2 linked regions of the Notamacropus eugenii genome follow. The protein of the gene in region 1 binds, or shares a complex with, the protein of each later gene. Links are inferred from orthologs where the notes say so. Each region holds a gene or a part of one and is shown on either strand. Other genes may lie near its edges. The genes, in order: ODAD1 and ODAD4.

Region 1 (11,153 bases):
GCAGCCCCCAGTCTGGTGCCTGCCCTCCCCTCCCCATCCTCCCTTCCAAGGGGCACCCATGCCCGAGGCCCCAGCCCTGGCTCACTCACTGGTGCAGAGCTGGCACAGCCCTGTGGCATAGAAGAGACCCCCTCGTTTCATGTTGTACAGCTGGAACATGAAGAGGATGAAGGAGAGGCAGCAGAACACCAAGGACAGCACCATGAGGGCCTGCACGGCCTTGAGCCAACCTGGGGAGCAGAGCCGGAGACTCTTAGCTGCCATTCCCTTCCCTACGTCTGCCTGGTTAGACTGGGAGCTCCCAGGGGGCAGCAACCCGGCTCCTTTTGTATTGGCACTCCTGGCCCCCAGCACCATGCTTGGTATAGTAGTGTTTCATAAATGCTATTTCATTCATTCATTTGTTTGCATTGGCCCCACCCTCCTCAGAAGGTGGAATCCCAACCCTGGCTGTCTTGGGGCCTTGGGACTTTGCCCCTCAGAACTGGGGGCTGACCCCTGGGACTGATGTTAATGGGCTGTGGCAATCCAAACCCTTCTGCCCCCCCCTCCATGCAGAGGTGTAGTTGGGTGGGGGGAGCTTTGGGGGGTGCTCTCCCTCACCGTTTTCGCTGACATTTTTGCATTGCCAGATCTCCCGGGAAGATTGGTTCAAATGGGCCAAGCATTCCTTCCAAAGGTTCAGTGAGTCATTCCCAGGGAGAATCCACCATGACTGAGACCAGTCGGGGTCAAAAAAAAAAAAAGGCAGAAGAGAACAAGAATTAGGGACGGGGGAGGGTGGGGGGGAGGGTGGCCGAGGGGCAGAGCCTGCTTGGAAGGAGGGGAATTGATGGGTGGGGTCCTAGGGATTTTCCTTAAACTCCAGTTTGACTGTATCTCTGCCTCCCCCTCAGTGAAGTGTCCGGACTCCTTGGCTCTTGGCTAAAGCTGTCAACCCCTCTGTTCAGCTTTAAGGTCTTTCTCTCGTTGGGATCCCCTCAGGTTATGGGCTCATCATCTTTGCCCTCCCCATCCCTTTCCTGGGGTACATCCCCTTCCTCACATCCTCGGATGTCTTCCCTCTGCGCCCATGGGCAGGGCCCTCCCCCGTATGTACATCCATCTATTGTATGTATGTACAAGTGTGTGTCTGAGTGTGTGTGTGCATGTACCTGTGTGTACCATTGTTTCTGCCATATGCGGTAAGCTCTTTGAAGGCAAGGACATTCACTTTTGTCTCTACCCCAAAGGTGCCTGTATTGAGGTGCATCGCACGGCCAGATGCTTTCGCAGGGGTGGAAAAGGCAGGGAAGGGGGGGGAGCAGGGAGGAAAGCCCTGGGCCGAGCCAGAACACCCCTCCCTGAACCCATAATCTCACCTTGTCCAGGGTGGCCACAAAGAGCAGGATGAGAATGAGGATGTGCAGGGCAGAGACAGCCACCAGGAGCAGGGACATGATGCCCACAGAGTCTGGGGGGAGGGGAGAGCCAGGCTGGCACCTAGGTATGGAGGACACTCCCAAGGGGGGAGTTTAGGGGCATGGCCTGGGGATCTAGCCTGGATATTCCCCAGTGGAGTTGAAGGAGATGCCTGCATCCTCAAAGGATGGGGGGGGGGGGGGCGGGAAGCGTGTGTGGAGTGGAGCTGCAGGGGGATCTTCCCCTCCCACACTCCCTGTGTTTGCACCATCTGGGCCCTCTAAGAACTAGAACCCAGACATGAGGATTGAAACCTGCCCCACCTAGTTCCTCCCCACTAGTCCCCAGTTTGTGAGCTGGAGTGGGGCGCTGCCCTAGGGACTAAGACTCCACTAGGCTCTCCTCCTGTCTTCCCCCGCTCCTTGGTGGGGGTTCAACATGAGTCACTGTGACTCATTCCCTTCTCTCCCACCAGAGAAACCCCAGCCCTGGGGCCTTGCTACTGTCCTCCTCAAGTCATCGCTCGGTCTAGGGCAGGGCAGCCAAACACCTGGGGCCTTTCAGGGCTATGGAAGTGAGATAGAGTGGTAAAGGTCTGGGTGCTAGCAGGACTAAGTGTGGGGATCCCTAGGAGAGCAAAACTGAGGTGTAGGAAGCTTGGGATGCCTGGCTTAGTGCAGGGCAGTTAAGGGAATTAGTTGGGTCTCTTCAGAGAACTGGCCAAGAGGGAGAATTGGGGTCTGGAAGTTAGAACAGGAGAAAGACAGGAAATCCTGAGCTGGGGAGTAAGGGCTGTTAGCTCAGATGTCTGGATCCCCGGAGGAAGGAAGACGAGGCAGGAAGAGACAGCTGGGGTCTTTGGCAGAACACCCTCTACTTCCCCCCACCCCCAGCATCTGTGGGGAAGGGAATGTCCCATATGTGGATCTCAAAGAGTGTTGCCTCTCCCCTCTCCCTGCCCCCTCCCCTTCCTGTCCCCTTCCTCTTCCCTTCCCATACCTACTAAGTGCTTTAGGATTCTCACCTTCTCCTTGGCCAGGTAGAAGGTATCTGGAGGCAGATGGGGTCTTTCCTGTCTCAAAGGCTCCTTTCTTTCTCAAATAACGGAGAAGCACTTAGCCAGCGCAGCCAGAGGAAGTCAGAGCTAATGCTCGGTCCCTTTTCCCGGCCTCCCTGCCCCGCCCTGCTCTCTCCCTCCTTCTCTCCACCTCTTGCCCGGCCCCCGCCTCCCTCCCTTCTTCCTTCCTCTGAAGACCCACTCCCTTCTCAGTACGGTCCAAACCACTCTCTCTCTTCCACCCCGCCTAGGTCTCTGCCTCTCTCTGCATTTCTCTGTCTGTGGGTGTCTCTCCTCTGCCTCTGGGATATATTCTCTAACTTCCTTTTTATTTACAAGCAGGAGAAGCCTGGGAGGGACCCAAGTTTCCATTGAATCATGCACCATCATACTTTCTTTATGTCTCTCTGTCTTTCCCTCTCTGGGTGTCTCTCTGTCTCTGTATCTCTATGTTTGTGTCTTTCAAGTTATTCATTTGTCTACTTCAGCCTTGTGTCTTCCACTTTCTGTCACCACTGCCCCTGATCCCAGGGCTTGCAGAGACTGAGGGCTGGGGAAGGTAGCTGGAAGGTAGGACCTTGACTTGGGAAGCCAACCAGTCAGTAAATGTTTATTAATTACCGACTATGTGCCAGGCACCGTATTAAGGGCTGAGGATGCCCCTCCTCCCGCCAAAAGGCTAAAAGATAGCTTTAGGAGTTTATGATCTAATGGGGGTAGACTACACACAAAAGTATATACAAAGCAAGTTGTAGACAGGATAAGTAGGACATTAACAGGGGAAGGAGCTGGGATTCAGAGGGTTGGGGAAAGCTTTGGGGGAGGTCAGTATCAGAGTGGAGGTGTTGAGGTCAGGAAACCATAGTGTTGAGATTTGGGTGCTCAGGACACCCAAATGAATTCGACCCGAATCTTCTTTCAGCCAAAGTAAAACAAAGTTTATTAAAGATTTGCCATTTTGGGTTGATTCTTAACAAGCCTCTTGTATTGACAAGTGGGCCAGATAGAATCTCAGCGAGATTGAATCTAAGCCAGACTGAATCTGAGCACCTTCATGGAGGTGAGATGGAATTTATATACAGAAAGATTGTGTGAGGGATCTGGCGATGGTCTAGGGTGATGGGAATTGGGGTTTAGGGAGGATCTTGATGGGACTGGGGTGACTGATCAAAAGTGGGAAGCAGGTGAGGCAATCCAGAGGTAACAGGTAATGGAGGGCTGGGCTAGGTGAAGGGTAACGGGCATCTGGGTGTGAAAAGCCAGATTAAGTGGGAAGATTGAAGGAGGTTCCCAGAGTCTACCACATCGTAGGGTGGGGTGTTCCCGGCATGGGAGATAGGCAGAGAGAATGTCTGGAGCCCAGAGATGCAATGTCTTGCTTGGGGAAAACCAGGGTGGCCAGTGACACTGGATTGGAGTATGTATTGGGGAATGAGGTTTAAGGAAGGAGGGCGCCAGGTTGGGACGGGCCTTGATCTCAAGAGGGCTCCGCATTTGACCCTGGAGGTGGATGACAGGGAGCCATTGGAGTTTATTGAATGGAGGAGTGACTTGATCAGATTTGTGTTTGAGGAAAGTCACTTTGTTGAGTGGAGAAGGCAGACCTCCCCCCCAGCAGTTACTGCCATAGTGCCCCCCGCCCCCCGTGGCGTTTCTTTCATTCCAGTGGGGGAGGGGAGAATAACCAATACACAGATAATTCGATCTAAAACACAATACAAGTAATGTGGGTGCAGCAGGGGGGCCGCCGTCTAGGAGCCTCCACCAGCCAGAGGAGCGGGCTTTGGAGGCAGTGACTTCGGAAAGTCCTTCATTTTACGGGCCTTTTTCTTCTCTTTGCACCCGCTGCTCCTGGGGTCCCCCAGCACTGCTCGGTACCCAGGAAGAGGCCCCGGGCTTGATGTGATCTGAAGCTCAGATCTGCCACCGGGCAAAGCTCTGCTCAGATCCGGAACAGAAAGCCAGAGCAGAATTGGAACCCAGGGCCGCCTCTGACTCCAAACCCACGGCTCCTTCCTGGCTAGCAGACCGTGCTTGGCCGAACCGGGAGCCGTGGGCACAAGAGACGGATTTGTAGCCCTGAGAGGGCAGGTGGGAGGTGGGCGCGCCCACCAGGCTAGGGCCAGGAGGGCCCCTCAGGCTGATGCTGAGCCCCGGGAGGAGAGCGAGGAGGCTACTGCTTCCTCCCTCAGGAAACCGCAGGCAGCTTTGGGGCACGCCCTGTGCCGCGGGCGGCCTGGAGCTGGGCTGCAGCCCGCCTTCCTTCGAGGCCCAGCCCCGGGGAGCTGCGGCCTGGCAGCACGTGGAAGGTGGCTCGGGCTGGGGGCGGGGCTCCCTCCCACTGAGGGAATCGGGGAGGAGCCCCGGAGAGAGGCTCCGCCTCCTGCTCCGAGCGGTTCGAGGGCGTTGGTGCTCAGGCGCACTAGGCGGGGGCGCGAGGGAGGGAGGCGGCGGTGAGCAGCTCTCCCTCCGCCCATCTACGCCCCATTTGCCACCCGCAGATTAAGAGCCCTTCTCCCCTTAGCTCCGCCCCCTCGGCAGCTCCTAAGCCCCGCCCCTCACAAGCTCCTCCCTCCCGCCCCAGCCCCTAGTCTGCTGCTCCTGCATCCCTCAAATCCCCCTTGTCCCGCCCCCTTAACTCCTAGCTTCAGCCAAACCCCCATCTTCCTCCCCAAGCCCTCCCACTCAAATCCTCCCGAGTCTCTCCCCTCAGCCCCCACCCCAGTTTCTACTACCCACGTCCCCTTTGTCCCGCCCCCCAGCATCCCCAGCCACACCCTCCCAAAGCTCTCTTAAATCTTCACTCTCCCGCTTGACCCCGCCCCTCACCGCTTTAGCTCCGCCCCCAGGCGGTGCCACGTTCTCCTCTCAGCTCCAGCCCCTTTTTCTCAACCCCGCCCCTCCCCTTGGCTTGCATGCCTCTGCTCCGCCAGCCCGAGGCCCGGGGAGGGGTTTGGAGGAGATCCTCTGAGTCAGCCTCCCCCAGAGGGAGTCGGGGGAGGGCCGAAGGGAGGGAGAAGGAGGGAGGGGGGAGAAAGGGAAAGGGGAAACCCGAGGGAGGAGCGTGAAGGAGGGGCCCCAATCCCCCTCCCCCCCCACCCCGCCTGGGCCAGCTTCCCCAATCCCCGCCGCCGGCCCTGTAGCCCCAGCAACCAGGACCACAACAGAGGGCGTAATCGGGCGAGGCCCGAGTCTAGACCTGTAGGGCCCCCGGTGCCCTTGTGCCCCCCAACTTCCCAACCTGGATCCTCCACTGCCCTCCAAGGGCCGCCCAAGTAGACTTCTCCCCGCAGCCACCATGCCGCTGGCCATCAGCGTGCGCTCGGAGGACAGCGAAGCCTACCTGGATAGCTCCGGTAAGTGCTCGGGCCGGGGGGTCGGAGCGGGGCGCTGGCCCGGCCTCCCTCCAGCTGACCCGGCCCCCGCCTGCCCCCCGCCCTGCAGAGGGGGAGCTGAGCCGCCTGCAGAGACAATGCCGGGTGATGGAGGCGGAGCGGCAGGCTTACGGCCGGGAGATCCAGCAGCTGATCCACAAGCAGATGTGAGCCGGGTGCGGGGGGTGGAGGCTGGCCCAGGGCAGGTGTGCTCGGCGAACGGAGAAGGGCGTTCGTGGCTTAGGGCGCAGGCCAGCTCCAGCTCTCTCGGGCTCCGGCCGCAGGGTGGAGATCCAAAGGCTGCAGCAGGAGCAGACGGAGCTCCGGGTGAAGATGGAGATCTCGCAGAGCCAAGCCCAGAAGCTCCTGGACCAGGCGCGGGAGAAGGACCTTCGAAACCTCCTGGAGCGCAGGCAGCAGCTGTACAAGGAGGTGATCCAGGCGCAGGAGCACCTGAAGAAGCTGGACCAACAGGTGGGGCCGGGGCGGGGGGCAGTGCTGGGCTGGGCCTGCCGGCCAATGGAGGACCCACCGAGTCCCTTCTCCACGGCCCCACGGGGCCCCAGATTGCCAAGTGGGAGAGTCGAGTGTTGCTGCAGCTGAAGGACCTCAGGGGCCCAGGCTTAGTCCTCCAGAGGAAGGCCCGGGACCTCCGAAGAGTGAAGATCTTGGAGAACCAACTAGACCGGGTGGGTGCTCCTGGGGCACTGATGGGGGGGAGGGTCCCAGGAGGCCAACAGAGCTTCTGGTGACCCTGCCATCCTGATGCCCTGCAGGCCACCACCCGCTTTGACACCCAGCTGGTAAGGAACAGAATCCTTCGAGAAGAGCTGGGTTTGCTGCACATCCAGAGAAATCGTTTTCTGTATATCAACCAGCAGCTGAAGAAGGTCAGGCCCCCCAGCCCTAGGCAGAGGGAGGCGGGAGCAGGGCTCAGCTTCTCTCCCTCACCAACTTGTTGCCCATGACCGTGCCCATGCTAAGCAGGAGCTGCAGGACATCCGCTCCACCATTAGATCGCACATAGACGAATCCAACTCAGCCTTTGATGCCAGGTAACCTTTGGCTCTTCCCTGGCGTGCCAGGGGGTGCCCTCTCTGCTCTGGGTGAGTGTGGGTACTGGGTTTGTGACAAGTTGGGGGTGGCTCTGTTGGACTCAGGGAGCCAACCCCCTCCTCTCAGTGTTGCTGGGATTGACTCCTGAGACCCTGGGCAGCACCAAGTTCCTTCCCTCTAGATGTCTCTGGAACCCTCTTTAAGACTGAGAGAACCAGCCCTCTCTATTAGGCACCTCTGCGACCCTGCCTGGTGTGCAGTCAACAGGCCCTTCAAGTCTGTTGTCTGGGATGTTCCCTGTCCTCTCCAGGGCAAGGGAGCCAGGCCCCTCCATGTTTTTGGTACAGTCCCTGTCTAGGACTGAGGAAACCAACTCTAACCTACACTAGGCTCATCTAGGTTCTCTGTTGGGGCCAGGATTGAGGGTACAGCCCCTCCTTGTGTCTTCAGGCAACTTCCTTGAGACCCCATCCAGGGCTGAGGGAGCCAGACTTCCAAGAGGGCCAACCCCATCTGTGCTCTTGTGGCCCCCCCCATGTGTCCCTGTGGGCCCCCCATGTGCTTCTGCATGTTCCCCCAATGTGTCTCTGCAGCCCCCCACATGCCTTTGTGACCCTTCCCCATATGCCTCTGTGCCCCCTCTTGGGCAGGGAGGAAGCCAAGCTGAAGCTGAGCCAGCTGCAGGAGAAGCTAGACAAGGACATAAGTCAGTACAATGCTGAGCTGCAGGTGGTGCAGAGGCAGATTTGCCACCTCGAGCAGCTGCACAACTTCCTGGTTACCAAGAACCAGGAGAGACTTGTGGATGCTGAGGTCATGGAGGCCCGACGCAAGCGGGGTGAGGGCCAGGGGACCACAGATTTCCCCTCCATTTAGCATAGAGAGAAATCAAGACCCAGATGAAAGCACAAGGGCATGTGCCTTCTTTAGATGTTGTCATGTCCACCCTCCTCCCCATTGGATGGTGAGGGAAACTGAGGACTGGAAGGGGTAGGGGCATATAATACCTAGGTCAGAGGCCTTTCTTTGTCTGAATGCTTCTGCAGAAGCAGCTTCCCGTGGCCAGAGGGGGAGCTAAGAGAAAGGGTCCCAGGGGCCTGAGGAACCAGTCCTCCCTGAGAGGAAACTGTACAGGAAAAGAGAGGAGTGAGAAGGAAGGGTGGCTGCCAGGACAGAAGAGGGCCGCTGACCAGTGGGGCTCCCAACAGAACACGAAGTGGCCGCAGGCCTCCGCAAGACCTCACACGAGAAGGCTATTTTGCAGTATGAGGAGGTGCTGGAAAAGCTGGGCCAGATCACGGGCCAGAGCAACGCCGAGGACATTTTGCAGATATATTTGGAAAGTAAGGGGTGGAGGGCCGGGTGGGCGGCAGCCTCGGGCAGCCCCATGGCAGAGCAGCTGCTCCACCTGGCCTCCTGAGATCATGCCTCCTCTCCAACTCCCCCCTTCCTGGCTCAGCTCCAACTTGGCCTCCTTAGATCCCTCCCTCCCTCCCTTTGGCTCTGTCTGTCCTTCTCTTCTCCCCTCATTCTTTGCCTTAGTCTCTCCCCTTTGACTTCCCCTTGATCCCCTTTGCTCTTTTTTTCTAGTTCCCTATCTACTCCATCTCTCTTCCCTCTCTTTCTCTCTCTCTCTCTGGCTCTCTGCAATCTCCCTCTCTCTCTCTTCTACTCACCTCAGATGAGGAAAGAAACTTTGCTGAGTTCACCTTTATCAATGAGCAGAACTCAGAGATGGAGAAGCTCAAGGAGGAGATCCAGGAGGTGAGTCCCACCCCTGTTCCCTTATGGGAGCCTCGAGTTGACTCCCCCCATGGCTCAGGCTCCTCATCTGTAAAATGGGAACACAACTCCCCCTCCTTCCCAGTTCTGTGCTGACAAAGGACCCTTAGGACCTTACCGAATTCCTGAGTATTGTGGCTCTGGTCTCTAGATTCAGGATGCCCTGGCTCAGTTGACCTTGGCCCAGGAAGAGGCTGACAAGGGAGCCAAGCGTCAGCAGCTTGATGCCCTGGAGCAGCGAAAGGTGGATTTGGCTAAGGAGGCCGAGGTGGTGGAGGTCAAGCACAGCAATCTGACCAAGATCCTAGAGCAGCTCAAGTCCGGTGAGGGACCCCAGGACCTAGGTGACCTCTGGCCAAGTCCCCAACCCCTTCTCAGCAGAAGGGCACACAGACTTGGAGGAGGGGGCTCAGGGAAAGGCGATTGAGGAGGAGATGAGAGGAGTCAGGAGCTGAGAGGGGACTGAAGGGAGGGAGGGACCACCCCGGTCAGGGCTGTCCAGGCCCTTACTGACCCCACCCTCCCCACCCTGGCCCCACTCTGCAGCCATCCAGTCTTTGTTCTACAAGGCCAAGTGTGACGACACCAAGCTCAAGGAGCTCCTGGGAGGCAGCCACATGGGGAACAAGATTGTGGAGCTGCTTCTCAGCCTCACTGAGCAGCGAGTGATTGACCTGCTGGCCACCCAGGCCTTCACTAACTCGGTGGGCAAAGTCTCCCCCCCCACCCCCCACCCCCGTTGTCCTGGGGAGCTGAGCCTGAGTGCCCCTGCTGATCCCTGCCCTTGCCCTCCCTCAGGAATCCAGTACCTACAACCCCAAGTCCACCGCCCTCAGGCTCCTGGGCCAGAGTGAGGATGCCATCCCCAAGAAACTTGTTCCACCGCAGGCCCCCAGCAACATGTGAGATGCTGACTGTGATACCAGGGGCTCAGATATGGGAACAAAGGAGGGGAGGCCCTAGGGGAGGATTCTGGAATGGAGGGATGGAGGAAAGATTGAGCCTCACAGAGACCTGGAGAGATACTGGGCACTTTGGAGGGCAGAGCAGAGTCATGGGAGGCGGGTAGAGATTTGGGAAGGCCACAAAGAATGAGGGGCAGGATGAGAGGGACAGAGAGCTGGGCAGGATGAGAGGGACAGAGAGCTGGGCTGTATAGGAACAAAGGTCCTCTGGGGGACAGTCAGGGAAAGGGGAAATGTAAGGTTGTGAGGGGAGGGCCAGACTCCAGTATGGCTGAGGTGGGCCCTTTTATCCTAGGGACGATCCCATGGGGCTGGAGCAGATGGATGAACGGCCCTTGACTCGGGAGGAGATTTTAGCCATGGTCTTGAAGGCGGTGAGAAGTGGGGGCCTTGGGGGAGTCTGTGGGAGGCCCTTCCCCCTGCCTCTGGTCCCCAAGCACCCTGTCTGTTCCATCCCCCCCCATCCTAGCTCCTATCCTCCTCCCTCCCTTCTCACCCTGGCCAACCCCTCCACCTTACCTCCCTCATACCTCTTCCCCACCACCTCCAGGGTCCTCTTGACCCTCTTTATTGCCCCCTCCCCCATCCCCTCTGCATGCCCTCACCTTCCTGTGACTGCCTTTTCCTTTCTCTTTCAATGAAGTACAGATGCAGGAACGAGAACAGGTCAAGGAACAGTCGCCCATGTCGATGCCACCGAGCAAGAGGGCATCAGAAAAACCTTTGTAGGCCAAGATGCAACCTCCAAGCATTTAACCTTGCCTGGCTTAGAGATCCTGTCCTCTCTGTTGCTCACCTCTCCCTGCCCCCCACCCCCCACAAGAAGGGCTTCCAACTTTCTGTCTGTCTCTTCAGCCCTGGGAGTCCTTGGCTGTCCATATATCTAGGGGCATCACAGTCTTTTGGTGGTTGTGCCTCTCCCTTTCCTGAATTTTTGCTTCCTTCCATCCCTTCCCAAGTTCAGAGTGTAGTGGAGGCCTGGGTGGAGACTGGGGGGGAGGGGGGGGTCCAGTGATGCTGTGACCTTGGGAATAAAAGGTACTTGCCCCAATGGGGCCTGTGAGGCTGCTTTCTTCTGTATATTACAAATCACTTTCAATTCAGTTATCAATAAGTACCTACTAAGTGCCAGACTATGGGACAATAGCAGAGGGGTTTTTGTTTAGTTTTTTAAGATCAGTCCCTGCCTCCCTAGTACAAAGGCCTTGGGGTCTGTCATGATATCATGCAGGAGCCAGTAGTTGAACCACAGAATTATTGGAGGACTTCTATTGGTAGAAGGGGCATGTTTGGCCTGAGGGGGCAGGGGAGGGCAGGTGGGAGAATTGTCTTGAAGTATTTTCATAAATTGTCATGGGGAAGAGGGATAGGACAATGAGGGGAAGTTATAAAGAGACTAAGACTTGATGTCAGGAAAAATGTCTCTACAAAGAGAGCTGCCACGCCCCCATCCTCCCTGGAGTGGATTGCCTGGGAAGGTGAGGACTCCTCGGAGATTTTCATGTATGTTATAGTGGG
Region 2 (11,004 bases), on another chromosome or scaffold:
GGCAGAGGGGGCCCAGGGAAGCCTGAGTACCATTCAACATAGATGTAATAGAGACCTAAATAAGTTCAGCAAATAAATGTTTGCTAACATGTATGTCCCATCCCTGGGTCCCCTAGAGAGTTCATTCTTCTTCCTTCAAGACTCACGGTGATCTCTTTTCCAAGCCTGGTCTTCAGCCAGGACTTGACACCATCTAAGTTGAGGTTAACTCCAACCAGGCCTAACTTCCCTCGACGCTTGATCAGCTGATCTGGCTTGACCACCAATTGCTAGAAGAAAGGGACAAAGAGAGGAAGAAAATAAGTATTTACTAAACACCTACACTATGCTGGGCCCTGTGCTAAGCATTTTACAAATATTATCTCATTTGATCCTCAGAACCACCCTGGAAGGTAGGTGCTATTATGACCCTCATTTTACAACTGAAGAAATGGAGGCAGGCAGAGGTTAAGTGACTTGCCCAGAGTCACACAGCTAATAAGTGTCTGAGGCTGGATTTGAACTCAGGTATTCCTGACTCCAGGCCCAGTACTCTATCCACTGCACCACCTAGCTGCCTCATTGGGAAAGAACAGACACTTTGGTCCCAAAAAGAGCTTAGATTCTCCCCTCTGCATCTCTCAAGATCTAGCTCTAATTCCCAACCTTACCATGCATCTTCTCAACTGCTCCATTCCAATGGAACACCTGACTTGCCCACCATCTTGCTTCCAATTCCTACCTTAGCCTTTGCACTGGACCCTTCCCTCATGCCTCTCCTCACCCTCACATCTTGGAACCCTTAATTCCCTTCAAGACTCAGCTCAAATCTGCCTCCTTCAAGGTATACCTCCTATCCTCTCAGGCATTTATTCCTCCTCCGCCTCTCCCACTTCCTCCCAACATCATTGTGGACGTATTTAGTGCACATGTACTCTGTGCATATTGTATCCCTGCCCTCTCCCACAACAGAACCTGGGCTCCTTGAGGGTAGAGACTAACATGTTTGCATTTGTATATGCCACACAAAGCACAGAGTAGTGCTTGTGAATTCATTCAGACAGACCAGCCTCTGTCTGTCTGACCGACACCGGTCCCCCGGTTCCCCCATCCTCAGAAAAAGCTCAGAAAAGACTGTTATCTAATAATAATTATTCTTGTCTCTCTGACAAGGGTGCTTTCCTATTCCACTGACACCCGCCTCCCACCCTCAATATGGAGGCAGCTGACCTGGCTAATGAGCCAGGGGTGGTCCTGCAGCAGGTGGGACCAGTCGGTGTCAGGGGTGACCCGAGCATACTTGAATCGGTTCTGGATCGCCGATGTGGTGCAGATGTACTTGTAGAGAAGCTCCTTTCCCGTCTGTTCCGATATTGCCTTGGCTGACATGGCTGTAAGAGGGACAGACGCTGCCTGCCCAACAGAAGGCCCCTGGTCAAAGAAGAGGCAGTAAAGAACCTACCTTCAACTCTCACTCACCCCCAAACCTCTGTAGTCTCATGGCTTGGGACTCCCAGATAAAGACCCTTGTTTAGTTCCAGCTGGGTAGAGCCATTTGCCATTATGGCTCCAACTCCCCCCTCCAAACACACCAGAACAGATGACCTTGGCATCTCTCAGAGGAAGAGCAGAAAAAGGCTCCAAGGGGGATAAAGTGAAATTTTCCCTAATACTAGGGAAGGATAAGAGATGCCAGAAGAATGAAACCATGGAGGAAGTCAGGGATAGCTCTTCTCTGAGGAACTAATTTCAGCTCTGCTTTCACTCCAGGCTGGCAAAGAAACCTTACATTCCCATCACATCTTGTGGATGATGGGGAGGCGGGTATGAGAATGGGCAGCTAGCCCTTTTTGGTGTGTATCCTGATCTGGTGAAACTTGTGGACACTTTTGTGTTCTTAAGTATAAAACCTAAAATACACAAGATTACAAGGGAATTCACTTACATGGAATATTATCAAATGAATAATTATAAATTAAATAATATTAAATATTAAAATAACTAAAACATTAACGAAATAATTAACAAAATATTAAATAACTATACGTTCATAGAACCCAGGTTAAGAACTCTTGAGATGGGGGGATTCAGATACAACACAGGAAAACTCCTGTGACCCCAATTTACTCATCATACACACACAGCTCCCCAATCTCTAGTGCACCCAACTAGAATTGCACAATTTCCTTCTAGATTTCTTTCTGAACCACTTGTCACAACTCTACTCCCCAAAGAAGCTCCATCTATCACCCCAGGATTCTGTCTTTCTCACTATAAGACAGAGTGAAGTATTTGTGGGCTGGCAATCAGAAGGCCTGAGGTAGCCCACTTCCAACACATATTCCAAAATCAGACCCTCCTTCCAGAATATTCTTATTATACAAAGGAGGAAACCAGTGGGCCAGGTAGAACAATGAGCCTATTAGCCTCCCAGCCAGGTCTTTTAGCTGCAGTAATTGTGCATCTCAGGAACTCCACACATACCAGTCCACCAACTAAGGGCTCATGAGCAAGTCACTCCATCCCTGTGGGCCTCATTTTCCCCAGATGTAAAACAAGAATGGGATGGACCAGATGATCTCCAAAGCTCCCCTGAGGCTCTAAAGAAACTTATTTCAGCTGGGATGCTGGGGACCCTACAGAAGGAGACCTCCTGTCACTGACAGAAACAAGTGAATTTTTTATTTTTAGGAACCCCAAATCTCAACCTCCTCCTCTCAACTCCAGAAAGTGAACAAAACCCTGATCAAGATTTCTCCATTCATTTATCCTCCGTCCCTTGTCCAATCCTGTCCTGTACTCCCATAAGGCAGTACAAGTAACAGGCTGGGTCAAAGGGAGGCAGAGGTCAATGGAGAAAGAAAAAAAGATAACGGAGTGGGGAGAGAAACATATAGTCAGGACTTCTGCCATGCCTGGATAAGTGAGATTAAAAAGAAAACAAGGCTTTCTTCCCTTGGACACATAAAGATCAGGAAAGGTAATGTTATGTTTGTTGGGGAAAATGTCAAGGTTAGTGGCTTCTGGTCAGTGTTAGTCTGGGTTTTTGAAGGTCTTGCCGTGTCTGGAATTTTGTCCCCATCCAAGAATCAGAAGAGAAGCAGGTTAATGAGAGAGGCTCTTGTCTGAAAGTCAGCCAACCCAGCCCCTGCCCCCTTGTCCTTTCCCTTCTCCACTTATGGAGAATGAATAGCTTTCTCCACCCCCCCGCCCCCCCCATCCTTTTTAATTTTATCTTACTTGTATTGAAATCTTTTGTTTTTACCTTCCTGACCCAGGGAAGCATTTTTCCTATAAGACATCCAGATACTCCCCCCTCAAAAAATACACCTCTGCAATGGAAGGAGGGAAATACATTTTGTCAACTCAGGAAATTTAGCTCCTTTTAAAATTCTAATCTGGATCCTGCTATGTGGCCTAAAATAGATTAATCTTGCTGGGTCTCAGTCACTCAATCTATAAAATGGGTGCAATCAGATTGAGCTCTCAGTGCTACAGAAAAGAACCAGCAGGTATGGCAGTGAGAACAATTGGAGATCTTTTCATTTCTGGAACTGCCTTGGAGCCCCTAGCTGCTTCTTCTTAATTTGGGGCTGATTCTTCTGACTTCCCAGACCAGCCCCTCCAACCCTCATCTCCACCTCTACCTACCCCAGTTCTCAAAGACAATTTCCCAATCTTCTTGACTCTGGGACCAGAAAAACTGGTCTTGAAGTAGAATGCGCCACACCTCCCGTTTTCACCTTAAATGAAGCCAGGGGCAGACAAATGCCATGGTGGGGATGGAGGTGGAAAGTTAATTCTATCGTCCCTTCTCACTTCTCATCCCCAAGATGAATTTGGGAAACATGTCCTTGTAACAGTATCACTGATGCTCAACATCTCAGACATACCTAAGTGACCATTAGGGGTAAAACAGTAGACAGCAGAATACAATCATTTGGGAAATACTTTAGAAGTCTGTCATTCTAATCCCTTCACTCAAATAATTTCCATTAGCAAAATTGTAGTAGAGGAGCAGACACAGATGATCTGTTTGCCAAAAATTAACAGGTTTTGGTGACTGGGACTCACAGAACAAGAAAAAAAAACACATTGAATAAATAATAGATGGCAAGAGGAAAAAATTACTAATTACTAAGGACATTCTTCAGACAATGAGGAAAGGTGTTCACACAACTAAGAGAGGAGAGGGGGCAGTTAAGTCATCTCCTACGGATTGGGTCATACCCCATTCTTCTACCAAACCCAATCATGATTCTGCATCTCTGATTTTCAAACAAGGTCCTAAAGGAAGACCTGTAGGTCAGAGCTTGCAAATCCCAGATCTGGGATCAGATACCTAAAGGGGACATCTCAGGAGAAACAGAAAGGAGATGGTAATGTGGGGAGCTGTATTCACACCCAGGGCATTTTTTCCAAATGCAAGGTAGGTCCTTCCAGCCTGAGACAGGGAGTCTACTAGTTACTGCAGTACAGGAACTGGTGTTTATTCACTCACTGTTCATAAAGAAAGGCAAAGCCAAACATGGTAACTGAAGCCAGTGTACTTTAAAACCCAGAATCTTAGAGTTAGAAGGAATTAACTGGTTCTTTGTATCTTGCCAGGGCTGAAGGGCCTAGGTTAAATAAGTTCACCAACCACAGCTGAAGCCACCAGAGAGAGAGCTTCAGCCAACTATCCCGGAAATCGAATTCTCAATTTCAAATGAATTTCAATTTCAGATTCAGGTGGTGGGGGTGGGAATGGAGTTAGTGGTTCAGAGGATTTACCACTAAAGCCCCAGGAACCTATTACAACAAAGAAAGGTATTGGCTAATAAACAGAAGGGTGATTTATAGACCACTTAGGGAAAGGGGTTATACTCATTTCTATGTAAAAAGATGAATAACAGGAGAATCAAAACCCACTCCTCACCAAGGATCCTAGCAAATTAAAGTTCAGACACATCTTATTTTAAGACAGAAGGAAGTACCCTACAGCCTAGTTCCCCATCTAGATAAGTATCAGCTCTCCCAATCAGAGAAAAATGGGAGAGCCAGTAGAAGGAACAGGATAAGAAATGAGAAAGCCCTAAAAAGGTCTTTTCTTCGAGTGTGACTTGAGAGAGAAATTTTACCCTCTATTTCCCCAAGGGGAGTCTGAACAGGGTTTTTGACCACAAGCCCAAAACAGAACTAGTAGTAGTCCATTTCAGGGTCCCCTTTTGAGGACCTAATACATAGGACATCATATATGTTATGTGGTGAGACACTCAAATTAGCTGAAAAGCTCTTATTACCTCTACTTTCTCTCCCCTAAACTAGTATCACTCCAAAGACCCTAAGGCCTTTCCTGAGATCTTAAAGCCTGTGCCACTGTCACTGGGGATCCCCTATGACTGAGGCCTTCTAGGAGAGGTGCCAGCATGAGATTCACCAGGAGGTGGGTGTGCCTCTCTCTAACTCACCAACGCAGAAGGGACTAGGAAAGGGAGCTAAAGCAGAGCATAAATTAAAAGGAAGGGGGTTGGAATCACGTTAAAAGGTGGTCAGAAATAAGAACCCTCAACCTCCTCCCAGAAGCTTATCTGCCCCCTGTTTTTTTTTTTTTGCCGTAGCCTAACATCCAAACCCTCAGATTCAATCTGGTCATCGGTAACCACCTTCCAAAGAAGGGTTCACGTGGAGTGGAGAGCCCAGAACTCCTATGTGGTACATTGTACTAGCCAACATTTGGGGAGGGGAGTTCAGGGAAGAGTGGATCCCCATCAGCAATGCCCTCTCCTCCCGCTCCAACCAGACTAGGGGAAGAAAAGGAGGGGATGGGAGTGGGGGGAGGTCCTCCAGCCATTCCGACCATCTGGATGGATGGAGCAGCCCGCACGAGATGGCATCACGTTAACACCTAATCCCCCCCAGCTCCACCCACTCCAGCCATGAAGACCCCACCTCCCAAGGTCCTTTCCAACAAACCAAGACCTGGGAGAACTCAGCGACACCCCGAGGGAGTCACAGAACCGCGCCCACCCGCCAGACCCTACGACCCTTACAGGTTTAAGGGGGTTCGAAGCCCTAAGCCCACGCTGGAGGGGGAGGGCTGTAAAGATCACCGGGGGGGGGGGGGGGGGGGCAGGTTCTCTGGACTTGCTCGAGCTGGCCGCGCTTTTCCCATTTCCTTTCCTCCAGGCTCGGGTCATCTCCGGGTGCCCGGCTCCCTGGGTGTGGAAGCGGGGTAGGAGTGGTGGCGGAGCCCCGGCTGGGAATAAAACCGGGTAGCGACAGGTGCCGGGGAGGGGGCGCGGAGGCGGGAAGAAGGGCAAACACCAGGTCCGGGGGAAGAAACCGGGGCAAAGCCTGGAGATGCGAGTGCGCGCGCGTATGCGTGGATGGCCGGCTTGTTGGGGGAGGGGGACAGCGTGCTGACCATGGCCGCGGACCGTGCAAAGAGAACCCGGGAAAGGCGATCCGAAGCGCCGAACAAGCTAACTTCCAGGGCGAAGGGGGCACAGGATGCGACCATCCTAAGGCTAAAGGGGAGGGGGGGAGCGGGCGGACTGGTGAAGGGATCCCTGCCGCGGCCCACGCGGCCGTCTCCGACTCACCTCTGCGCGGCCGCCTCTCGGTAGTGGTCCCTCCGAAGGCCTACTTGCAGCCCTTAGTCTTCCTGCGCGCCCCTAAGAACTTGTGCCTGCAGAAGCCGCCCCAGCCCCGGCTTTTGTCCGGGGCCTAGCCAGGCTCCTCCCCGCCCCCCACCCCCTTCCATCTGCTCATGGCTGGCGGATCCCGGGGATTGGCCACACGTGTCTCCTAGCCTGTTCCTGAGACTCTCTTCCTATTCGCTGTCCGACTCCGGCCCCGCCCCCGGAGGCAGACTTGAGGGTTCCTGGGACTTGTAGTCCTGTTTTCCCCGCGGGCCATTGGCGAGCCGCCTCGGAGCCTCGCTCCGCCCCTCCCAATTTCGGTTCCGCCTTCGCCTTTCCTGACCTCCCAGACGCTCCCTCCTTCCCCACAAGTCACTGAACAGTCCTGCGCCTCCGCCCTCCCTCCCTCCCCTATCAGGGGGCGGGGCCATCGGTGGGGAGATGGGCGGGGCCGACTCTCGGAGGATAGGGTGCCACGCGTGCGGGCGGTGGGCTGTGGCCCGATGCCTGGGCGGGGCCGGTAGCCATGGGGATCCTACCAGCGGGTATGTGGGGGAAGAGGGGCTTCTGAAGGGGTACCGATCGGGGCTGGCCCCTCCCACCCTGCATCCTGGCGGCTCTAAAGCCCTCCAGTCCCGGCCTTGCCTAGCAAGTCGTGAGCCCCCTCGGGTTACTGGGTAAGGCTGCGAGCCACAGCTGCAGTCAGGTCAGATCTGTCCAGGTAGGGTGCAGTGGGGGAGGGGATCCTGGGCTGCATCCGTGCCGGAGGGGGAGTCTTCACACACTGCTTTCCCTTCCCCCCTCCTCCCGCCCCTCTAGGAGGGCGAGGGGGGAGGAGAGCCCAGGTAGACGGAGAGGAGAACCTGAGGCATTAAATCAAAATATTTCGATTAAATTAAATTAACTAATTCAAATAAATTATAATATAATAAAAATATAATAATTATAATAATTTAATTAATTTATTTTCGATTTAATTAATTCGATTAATTTAAAGAGTAGCGATATGGGGTCGCCCAGCACTAGAATCTACTGATTTCTTTGTGTGTGTGTATATGTGTATATATACATACATATATATAAAATGCCTTTTAAAAAATGTAAGAGGAGTAGTCTTTGTTCTCTTAAGAAGGTGCCAATAAGCATGCTAATACTGGAGTTTTTAAGTTTTTAAAACTTGAAGGTGGACAAGTTTATGATATCACAAAGAAGTGTCTGAAATTATTGAGTATAGCTCCTACATAAATTCATCCTCTTTTTGGCAAAAACATTTCTAATTGAAGTCACCAAAAGCAAGAGTAATGTGTCAGATTTGTTCTGGCATTAAATACAGAAGTCTATTCTAACATACTGTGGGTAAACAAGGTCAAGGTTTGAGTCATTCCTGTTGAATAGGGCATGATCTGCTACCATCACCGTCAGTTGGCACTTGCTTCTGACTGACCAGACTGAAGGGTACAAACTCAAAGTTGAACAGAGTATCCTAAAATCTGTTATATTTCTCAACAGCATTGATTTTAAGTATAATGTAATAAGTTAATTTTTGAAATTAAAAAGAATTGCAACTTATAAAATTGAAATAACTTCAAAACAGTTGTAGATGATTTGTTGACATTTTCAACAATTACATTTAAATTGTGTAAAGTATCTCAGAAAGTGTAGTGACAATTTTGAGGTTTTTTGTTTGTTTTTTAAAAGTAAGCATTGCTAATATAAAGTCTGGAAATTACTGCTCTATAGTGGGAAAAGTAAACTCATCAGATTGATGGTGGGGGAGTCCCCTGATCAGGTCCCTCTTAGGTAATGTTTCCTGAAAAAAATTCAAGTGGGAGCCTTAGGATCATCTCATCCAAATCTCTGATTTATATGGCCTTAAGAGGAATGTCTCTCATTTAGGAGAAGGTACCATCATCAAAGGATCATAAGTTTAGCTCTGGAAAGAATTTTAAAGGCCATCTAGTCTAACTCTTTTATTTTGTAAAGAACTAAGGCATAAAGAGGTTAAATGTATTTCCTAAAATCACAGAGGTAATAAATGACAAAAGTAACACTCAAATTTACATCCTGGGTCCCCAAAACCAATGTACTTTCTACTGTACCAAAACTACTTCACTAGGGCTCCCTCCTCCTCCAGCCCAGTGTCTCTCCCTAACTATGCCATGACCCCAGGAAGCTGTGGAGCCCAGAACTAACATTCAATCATTAGTTCAAAGGAGGTCAGTCCAGACTTCCAAAGCATTGTCGTGTTTCCATCCTCTCTGCCTCAGCCACCAAGGTGCCAGACATCAAGTTTTGCAATGGTTCCCAAGAGTAAACAGTTTCCCTGGCCCATCCCCTATCCAGTTTCAAGTCAGGCGGGAAGCAGGTGGACAAGGCTGCTTCTTTACCTGTCCTGCCCACACCCTAGACAACTGAATTACTGATGATGTCATTGATATTCTCCCAATGATCTTTAATCATATCCTTTTAGAAAGTGCTCCTTCCCATACTCCTGTTCTTCCTGCCAGAACCAACTATAGAGATAAAAAGGGAACATGGAAAGGCTAGAGAGCTTCTAGGCATCTATGCTCTTCTCATTTTGGAGCAGTATATTTCCGACCATGATGTCCATTCCTCTATCTGGCCTTTCTCCTTTCCCGTTACCTTAGTATAGTCCTCATTACCATACTCTTTGGACAATGTCAAGAGCCTCCTGAAAGGTCTCATATCTGTTCTTTTCCTTCCCTTGGCCCAAAATGGTCTTTTATACAGATGCAGGAATAATTTTTCTTTCCAACCATATCATTCTTCTGCTAAAAAAAAAAAAAGGCTCCTCTTTCTCCTCCTCTTCCTCACTATCACCACCATCTTCTTCCTCCTTCGCTGCTGCTTCTCTCCCCTCCCCTCTCCCCCCAACCCAGTTCCCTTGGAACAGACCATCCTGGTGCCTCTTTTGTGAGCTACGGTTGAGGAGACCCCCGGATTAGCCATGGCAGACAAAAAACCGAAGGAAGGAGTCAAGACTGAAAACAACAACCATATTAATTTGAAAGTGGCAGGGCAAGATGGTTTGGTGGTACAATTTAAGGTTAAGAGGTGCACACCACTTAGTAAACTAATGAAAGCCTATTATGAACAACAGGGTTTGTCAGTGAGGCACATCAGATTCTGATTTGATGGGCAACCAATCAATGAAACAGACAAACCTGCACTGTTGGAAATGGAGGATGAAGATATAATTAATTGATGAATTCCCGCAGCAAACAGGGTGATTACAAAAAAAAGAATCTACACCTCTACTCCAGAACTGTGCTCCCAAGGAAAACAATACATCCATAATTAGAAAACCAAGGTTTGGTTCAAACACATCCTGACTACTGCAGTATAGTTTTCCCTCTTCTTTGATTCCCTTCCCCCATTCCTTTATTGTACATAAAGTAGTTGGTGTGTGTGCACAGGCAAAATGCTATTTTTTTAAACTAAATGGTTAATGGTATGTTTTGATCAACTTCAAATGGAGATGAGGAGGGGGAAAAGCAAACTGGTTCTGTGAAAATACCCCTTTTCTCCATTAGTGGCATGCTCATTCAACTTTTATCTTTATATTCCAGTAAGTTATTTTGCTCTCACTGTTTAACAACAACAACAAAAAAAACCTATCAAAAAATCCTTGCATACCTTGTTTGGTTGGATAATTTCAATGTTTTTCTTTTATCATTGTAAAATCAAGGGCAATTTTATAACATTTTTGTATGTAGCTGTTACATGTAGGGCAATCTCTGAATCTCAGTAGGGATAAACTACTCTAAAGAAATTGATTCTAGATAGTTTTCCCTTTCCCTTCAAGTAAAACATCTTGTTGTTTAAATACACTTTTTATTTGAAATAAACTGTTTTCTTTAATTATTCTCAAGAAAAAATTTTTAAAAAATTTACAAAGCTTCAGTGGTTCCCTGTCACCTTTTGAGCAGTATTCAAACTACTTTGTCTGGCATTCAAAGCCCTTCCCCACTAAGTACTGTTTTACCTTTCCAGCCGTACCTCATGGTCATACCCCTTTAGTCACTCTGTGCCACACTGCTCTCCTATTTCCAAGCTAATGCCCTTGCTATTCCAGATTCCTCTCCTCTTTACTTATTAAATCCATACCATCCTTTAAAGCCCAGCTCAAAGCTACTACTTTCATGAAGCCCTTCCCTCGTCCCTACTTCTAATTTGCAGGTAAGGTCTTTCCTCCTCACACTTCACATTGCACTTTTCTTTTTGTCCCTCTAATGCCTTATCCTTTAATGTACATTTTGATTATTTGTTTTTGTGACTCATCCCTCTACTACATAGGAAGGTCCAGGTAGGGATTCTATTTTAAAATAAAATTTTGGCTCCTCACCAGTGATTGGTGAAAGGGCTTAATGTTGTTCACACT

The links.
Region 2: ODAD1 (region 1) and ODAD4 share a complex: the UniProt entries of both Homo sapiens proteins name them as parts of the outer dynein arm-docking complex. The link is inferred for Notamacropus eugenii from reciprocal best matches to the Homo sapiens genes ODAD1 and ODAD4.

Annotation. Positions count from the first base shown.
Region 1 is NC_092876.1:12,892,438-12,903,590, forward strand, and holds ODAD1 (outer dynein arm-docking complex subunit 1), read left to right. Parts: upstream 1-5,554; 5' UTR 5,555-5,756; coding exon 5,757-6,521; intron 6,522-6,608; coding exon 6,609-6,722; intron 6,723-6,819; coding exon 6,820-6,887; intron 6,888-7,538; coding exon 7,539-7,726; intron 7,727-8,096; coding exon 8,097-8,231; intron 8,232-8,569; coding exon 8,570-8,652; intron 8,653-8,821; coding exon 8,822-8,993; intron 8,994-9,216; coding exon 9,217-9,374; intron 9,375-9,468; coding exon 9,469-9,572; intron 9,573-9,930; coding exon 9,931-10,009; intron 10,010-10,283; coding exon 10,284-10,364; 3' UTR 10,365-11,035; downstream 11,036-11,153. Other genes in the region: EMP3 (epithelial membrane protein 3), read right to left, coding at 90-230, 604-715, 1,362-1,439. UniProt on the Homo sapiens protein: Component of the outer dynein arm-docking complex (ODA-DC) that mediates outer dynein arms (ODA) binding onto the doublet microtubule. Involved in mediating assembly of both ODAs and their axonemal docking complex onto ciliary microtubules.
Region 2 is NC_092873.1:358,360,248-358,371,251, forward strand, and holds the start of ODAD4 (outer dynein arm-docking complex subunit 4), read left to right. Parts: upstream 1-5,910; 5' UTR 5,911-6,013; intron 6,014-6,563; exon of another isoform or gene 6,564-6,741; intron 6,742-7,047; exon of another isoform or gene 7,048-7,147; intron 7,148-11,004. Other genes in the region: ACLY (ATP-citrate synthase), read right to left, coding at 147-269, 1,210-1,368. UniProt on the Homo sapiens protein: Component of the outer dynein arm-docking complex (ODA-DC) that mediates outer dynein arms (ODA) binding onto the doublet microtubule. Plays an essential role for the assembly of ODA-DC and for the docking of ODA in ciliary axoneme.